2 linked regions of the Nothobranchius furzeri genome follow. The protein of the gene in region 1 purifies or fractionates together with the protein of each later gene. This does not show direct contact. Links are inferred from orthologs where the notes say so. Each region holds a gene or a part of one and is shown in the gene's direction. Other genes may lie near its edges.

Evidence for each region.
Region 2: the proteins of cdk7 (region 1) and gtf2h5 purify together in Homo sapiens (affinity purification with mass spectrometry; 7 studies listed by BioGRID and IntAct, with this or other methods). This does not show direct contact. The link is inferred for Nothobranchius furzeri from reciprocal best matches to the Homo sapiens genes CDK7 and GTF2H5.

Annotation. Positions count from the first base shown.
Region 1 is NC_091757.1:44,652,630-44,656,954, reverse strand, and holds the start of cdk7 (cyclin-dependent kinase 7), read left to right. Parts: upstream 1-1,267; 5' UTR 1,268-1,318; coding exon 1,319-1,384; intron 1,385-1,606; coding exon 1,607-1,666; intron 1,667-1,745; coding exon 1,746-1,779; intron 1,780-1,862; coding exon 1,863-1,930; intron 1,931-2,136; coding exon 2,137-2,205; intron 2,206-3,645; coding exon 3,646-3,756; intron 3,757-3,853; coding exon 3,854-3,972; intron 3,973-4,103; coding exon 4,104-4,203; intron 4,204-4,278; coding exon 4,279-4,325. UniProt on the Homo sapiens protein: Serine/threonine kinase involved in cell cycle control and in RNA polymerase II-mediated RNA transcription. Cyclin-dependent kinases (CDKs) are activated by the binding to a cyclin and mediate the progression through the cell cycle.
Region 2 is NC_091742.1:2,693,590-2,696,523, reverse strand, and holds gtf2h5 (general transcription factor IIH subunit 5), read left to right. Parts: upstream 1-1,518; 5' UTR 1,519-1,658; intron 1,659-1,849; 5' UTR 1,850-1,874; coding exon 1,875-1,909; intron 1,910-2,007; coding exon 2,008-2,188; 3' UTR 2,189-2,323; downstream 2,324-2,934. Other genes in the region: protein SERAC1, read left to right, coding at 72-215, 330-466. UniProt on the Homo sapiens protein: Component of the general transcription and DNA repair factor IIH (TFIIH) core complex, which is involved in general and transcription-coupled nucleotide excision repair (NER) of damaged DNA and, when complexed to CAK, in RNA transcription by RNA polymerase II.

The DNA of each region.
Region 1 (4,325 bases):
GTTTAAATTGTTATTGGAAATTAAGAAGCTGACTTACGTTTTATCAGATATTGGCAGAAAAAGTGATATCAAACATCCCTAAAATTTCATCTTTAGACTCTTAGATACCAGCAGACTGTCCAAAAACACAAAGTTTGATTAATTTCCTGTTAAATGTATTGATCTGTTAATTAAATCAGAATTTTAATCCCAACAAGGTGATTCTGGAAAAGCTTGTGGTCCCAACCTGACACGCAGTCAATGATCAACAGTAGGATCATCTACATCTCAGTCAAGACTTTGCTGGATTTGACTCAGTCTTTAAAGACAGGATTGTTTCTGTTTTTGACCTCCACTTGTCCGTTTTCTTAGATATTTAGCACAAACTGCACATTATGCAAGGTCAGATACAAACAATAAGCTGAATTTTTAACAGTTATTCTAAGTATTTGACAGAGCAATAAACAATGGTTCATACAAGACCCATAAGAGTTCTTCTACACCAAAGCCAGCATTTGTGTCCTGAAAAGTTGATGATGTGATGGCAGCAAGGACTGAAGTGTGGCTAGACTGCTCTCTTCTCTGCTGCACAGCCACATACTGTCAGTCACATCTGTGAGCTGTCAGACCATGAATGTGCATACATCTGAGGGGGGTGAGGGGTGTATTAGGCATGCTGATCCTTCACACTCCTCTTGTCAAACTTAACATTAAAATGAAAGTCAGTGGTGAGTGTTCTGAATGTGTGTGTGTGTTGACGGGTGAGAATTTGGGCATTTGAGACAGAAGACAAGTAAGGTCAAAGGAGCCGTGCCTAATCCTGTGGGATGTTATGGTATCTTACAGTGAATGGTGATGGGATGTAGAGATGTGCTCAGTGGTGCATGGATCACAAAAACTTCCTAACTGACAGAACAGGCTCCCAGGAGACCAGTGTCAAAACTGGTGGATGAAAAAAAACAAATGGAAAATGGCAAATTGCCATGAGATTTGTGTTGTCTTTCCTCTAAATCAGAAACATGTATTTCATCCTTTATTTTAAAATAATAAAAGATTAAATAAAGGGTGAAATACATTTTGATTTTTAGTTAGGTGACATTAATTGGGACTGAACAAGTCACAACAATTCCTACATAGTTTGTATTAAATAACTGTTTATATTTTAAATCATTCTGAACGTGTTCTTTCAACCAAAAAATTGCACATCTTTTGACATTAAATTGTTTTAGCCTGACCAGTAGATGGCGCAGTTGCTCAGTTTTAAAGCCTGACACCTTTGCCCCGGAAGAAGTTTTCTGGCCCTTTAACCAGACCAAAAGATAGCTTACTGCTAGCTACCATGGCGCTTGATGTAAAAATCAGAGCGAAACGATACGAGAAACTGGATTTTCTCGGAGAGGGTCAGGTAGGCAGAGAATTATTTCAAAGTTTTCGATATCTACTCTTCGTTTCGCTCACTTTTATTATTTTTGCTTTGTTGTTTAACGTTTTCAGTAACTTGATAACAAGCGTTAGCTGGTAGCTAATGTCAACAAAGCCCCAGCAGCTTCGGTGTGATCACACTAGCTCTAAAAGCATTCAGCGCGTTGTATGCTCTCCTTTAATAACCTTTCTTTCATCTCTTCAGTTTGCCACAGTCTACAAAGCCAGAGACAAACTGACAGACACAATAGTTGCCATCAAAAAGGTACAAAAAAAGTGAAGTTTCTGCTTTAATCGGACACTGTGGTGTTCGGGGTTAAATTTGATTATCTGCTTGTTTTCAGATAAAAGTTGGTCACAAAACTGAAGCTAAAGATGGTAAGTCATAGTCACACCTGTGCCCCACACATACCAAACACTCGTGCTGTATCTTATTGAAAATAAATGTTCTTTTCTTGCAGGTGTAAATCGGACTGCTCTCAGGGAAATCAAACTGCTACAGGAGCTGCATCATCCAAATATCATTGGGGTACTCAAACTATGTTCATGCATTTATGTCCTCTACATTTCCAGTAAAACATCTGGAAAAATCAACCTAATTATTTAATTTGGGTAGATGTGTGTCTGAACGTTTAAGAGGCACTGTGTGTTTGATCAGGCATCTTGGTATTCTCGTGTTATTAATTTGTTTCTTTTAAATGCAGTGTTGGTTATTTACTGTGCTATGTGTTGTAGCTGTTGGATGCATTTGGACATAAATCAAACATCAGCCTGGTGTTTGATTTTATGGAAACAGACCTGGAGGTGAGTTGCCTCCTGTTTTTGATTATATGCACAATTATCCCTCTGATATTATTACTTCTGAATATGATGAAGTTCCGCATTAATATAATAGAACAGTGGTTTCCAACCTAGGGTCTGGGACCCCCCATGGGGGCCTGCTCAGGATTGCTGGAGGTCCCCACAAATGTGTCTGTGCTCAGGTTGTGAGAATACCAAGGTAGTTTTTGTAAGAATTACATTTCTAAAATCCAAATGACACACCCAAATGTATAATCAAATATCTGTATGTCTGTGTAAAGTTTTTAATTAATCATTTTTAATGTGTGGATGCTGGAAGAAGTTGTGGTTGGGGGTTCTGGCTCATCTTGGATACAGGCAAGTGGGTCCCCATGGAAAGAAGGTTGGGAACCACTGTAATAGAACATTCATACAGCTTGTTTTTATATTTGCACTAGATTTTTTTCCCCTGTAATTTAAGTACTATTAAATGGTCTTCACTAAGTCGGGTTAGGGTTAAATTAACTTTAGTTCTGTATATCCAAGTATCATAAGCAATCAGCGTGTAAAATAGCTCTCCCATTTAAGGCTTAATTTTTGGTTGAGGGTTTAAAGAACAAAAAAGTCTTTAAAAATTGATTCAGTTAAACATTCCCCAGGATTTTGGTGAAAAGGTGGTTATGATTGCACTTTTTTATACAAATGAGTAAGTAATGAAAGTGACTTCTTTACAGAATTGTGGTCTAATTTTGATTAAAAAGACAATAATCATGGTATTATAAAATTGTATATACATGTGTTGTGTCGGGTTAAATTCGTTCTTCTTCTTTTTTTTTTTTTTTTTTTTTTTTTTGCATTTGTGGACCACTAGTAATCATTCCCTCAATGACTTTTTAATTTTGGAATTAAATAAAGAACATTTGTGATGTTTAAGGTTTTGTTTAGGGAGAAACGTGTAACATAAGGATGTGTGCTGCAAGATCAAATGTCTTTACAAAAGGAGCAACTAAAATGAAAGTAAAATTATTCTTTCATGCTCCCATTCTCCTTTTTCATTCCGTTTTAACGTGCAAGACTCCAGACGGACGCACACCTCAGACACATTAGACTTTACTGATGCAATAAAAAGACAAAAGTGCTTCCAAATAATCAATATCACTCTCTTCTTGGCTCAAATACATTTATGCCATTAGCAGCTGGCAGGCAGCAGTTAGGGGAGGCATGTGTGAATTATGAGGCTATTCTTTTTCAATAATGTTGTAAACATTTTTAGGTTCAGTCAGTTAATGTTTAAACTATCAGCTACAGATGTTTAGTTTTACGGACATTTTGGGGATTTGTCGAGTAGTTAAAGTGAAGCTGTTTGGTCTGATCTCAGTTCTCTAAAGCTTCCTTGTGTGGGTCAGATAAGCATATTTTTTGTTGTTTTGCTTAGATTTTTTTGTGTGCGTTTTATTTTTTCAGGTTATCATCAAAGACACAAGCCTAGTCTTGACTCCAGCCAATATTAAAGCCTACATCCTCATGACATTACAAGGATTAGAGTACATGCACCAACATTGGGTCCTACATAGGGTACGAGCACCTAAACACCACTCTGTCGTATTCTGCAAATGCACAGAGGTGATTTATTATTTAGAATTATTGCTTCTTTTTTCCTTTATACGTTCAGGATTTGAAGCCCAACAATCTGCTGCTAGACAGTAACGGAGTGTTGAAGTTGGCTGATTTTGGATTGGCCAAAGCTTTTGGAAGCCCCAACAGAATCTACACTCATCAAGTTGTTACCAGGTCAGAGCCGCTGCAGTAATGACAACGATCGTTTTGTTGGCTTTAATCTAATTTTACAAAATAGAATTTCTCACCTCTACACTAAAGATCAAACATTTAACTCTGTATGTTTTCTGTCATCGTTTTTTTAGGTGGTACCGCTCCCCTGAACTCCTGTTTGGTGCCAAGATGTATGGAGTGGGTGTTGACATGTGGGCTGTGGGCTGCATCTTGGCTGAGTTGTTACTTCGGGTACTTAAACCTCACTTCACATAGTAAAGCAATGCTGTTCTTTTAGGTCTGTCCTGATAGTTTCCTCTGCTGCAGATACCATTCCTCGCTGGAGACTCTGATCTTGACCAGCTGACCAAAAT
Region 2 (2,934 bases), on another chromosome or scaffold:
TCATTCCTTCTAAAATGGCTTGAATTAAATAGTTTGTTGTCTGCAATGAGTCGATGTCTGTGTGTTCAAAGACTCCCCAGCTCTGCGTAACCTGAATGAGGGTTTTCTGAAAATTGCCAAAGAAAATGAAATCAAAGTGCTGAGCTTTGCAGAGACGTTGCCCACAAATATTGGTCCTATGATTAAGATATTTGTGGTCCCAACTCAGTCAGCAGGTATGTAAGATACAGTGGGGAAAAGTCAATGAGCTATACTTTTGATAAAATAATAAAAATCTGTCATCCAGTTTCTTACCTTCTCTTTTTGAGTAATCTCTCGTTTTGTTCCAGATCTGGGCATCGGAGAGCTCATTCAGGTGGATGTGGATCACCTGAACATCTGCAAACCAGAGAAGAAGGACTCGTTTCTCTACAGACGCAGCCTCCAGTTCATCCAGGAAGCACTCCAGAGATACACAAGCCAATAAAAGACATACAAGCACATCAGTAGTGACATTAAATTGTTTACTTGAAGTTTGAGGAACACTGAGTCCTTCCACCAACAAACTCAAAACCCCAAACCTCTTTTTGTACACGTTTACAACCATAATGTGAGATGTTAACAATCATAATGCAGACACATTTATTTCACACACTTACTAACTGTGATAGATAAACCCGAACCTCTGATTTGTTATCTTTTTACATTTTCCTCCCTTATGTTTTCATTTTTACCGGTCAAAGTCATGTTTCGAGTAAACTCATATTATGAGAAGTACCACCATCTTTCCATTTTAGACCTTGCAGCCACAACAAATATATATTTACTTAAAGATGCATTTTTAAAAACTGCTTCTATGTAGTTTTGATCAGAGTAATGGTTGAAATGTTATTTTTGTATTCATTCATTCTACTGAAACGTGTTGTTTTTTGTGCCAAATGGATTATTTGCCAAGCCTTTTTTAAAATGGCCCTGATTTAATATATTAGGTCAACTCTATTAATTTTATTACATTAATTATGCATCACAATGGGCCAACATATACTAGAAATGAGAATAAATCAAATGAATGAGTACATTTGTTGAGTTTGACTTGTCTATGCATTCATTAAATGATGTATTAAAATACTGAATACAACAGAATTGTTAAATGGAAATCGTTTGGTGTTTATTTTCTAACTTAATCTGACAAAAAGTAATTTAACAAGCATCCATTGCAAAATAGTTAAAAACAAATGTACATGTGCAATACTCACACACACATGCATACGTACGCATGTATACATATGTATGTATGCATGTACATACACGTACACGTTTGTTCAGAAATCTTGCATTATAGATCACTTGGTGGAATTGGGCTGGGAGTAAAGCACAGGAGCGTCAAATATTTTTAATAACAATTTTTCAAAAATCACAGTGAAATCGTTATAATATAAGCAGATAATTACGTGAAATGTACCAGATAGCGTGGAAGAACATGTTAAACGGAAGTGGCAAAAATGCGCATCCTTCAATGCTATAGTGGTAGAGGAAGATTGTCCCTGGTTGCTCGCCGTAGATCTTACCTCAATGCTACGGAACTTAGCTTAAAAAGCAGCTGCTGTTGGGTCTGAACGAGTAGTTTTACACGATTTCTTACCAACTTTAGTGTTCTCCCGAACATTGTGGTTGTTGTGGTAAGTTTTAATTAGAACGTTTTGCTTAAAAGTGTTGCAAAATACGTTGTTAGCTTGTTATTTTTAGCTTGTTTACTATTTCTCATGAATTTTCTCTGTACATTAACTGTCCGGTATGAATATGTGTTGTATATGCATACAGTATTTATGTTACTGTCGCAACATTTTTGCACGTTTTGTTTATTTTGCAGACTTTAATCAACTACACCTGTCATCATGGTGAATGTTCACAAGGGTGTTCTTGTTGAATGGTAAGGAACTTCAGAGTGAAGAAAACTGTAAAATTACTTTCTTCTGTAGAAAACTCCTACAATTATAATGTCTTTTTCCTCTCCATGTTCTGTTTCAGTGATCCTGCTATGAAACAGTTTCTCCTCTACCTAGATGAAACCATGGCTTTAGGAAAGAAGTTCATCATCAAGGATCTTGACGACACACACGTTTTTATCCTGGCAGAGGTGGTCCAGACTCTTCAGGAGAGAGTTGGGGAGTTAATGGACCAGAATTCATTCCCCATCACGCAAAAATAACCCTCAGATCTTTGACTTTCCTCTCATGGACTACTCAATTTGTTGTTGTTTGCTTTTGCTTAATAAAATGAGACATGTAAATGTTTTGGTTTGATAAAAGTGGAAGTGATCAATTGGATAAAAAGTTTCTATTTTTGTGGAGTTCTTTTTCACTTGTAGATGGGGAACAAAAATAATCTATTAAAAGTACTTGTTAATTCACACCATAATTTAACCAAATCAGATTTTTCATTTAATCTAGTTCCGATAGAAAAATAGAAAATCCCTTTATCCACAGTGGAGAAATTTGGGTTAAAGGAATATATGTACATATCTAGAATGGCATGCCAGCCTAGCAATTACATTCATGGCAGGAGCAAAATGAGAAAAATATGATAAACAAAACCTCACAGTTACCTAAGGCATTTGAAGAGGTACATTACAACAGAGTAATTATTGTGAGAAAATAATTCAATTGTTGTTTTTATGATATCAGGGATTCAATTAGTGCTTTCAGATAGAAACCAGAGAAGAAATTGACATTTCTCACAAATCTCATAACGTTAATGAAATACTGAGATAATGAGTTTTCCCTGTTTAAAATGTTTTGCCACCTTCAGTTTGTTCTATTGATGAATGAAATGACAGAGATACAGTTATAATTGTGAAAAGTCTAACACTAGACAGTGTCCCTAATGTTATGTTAGGTGGACAGAAACTGCAAATGTACTTTTAACATGTCTGAGGATAGAAATTTTATAAACGAG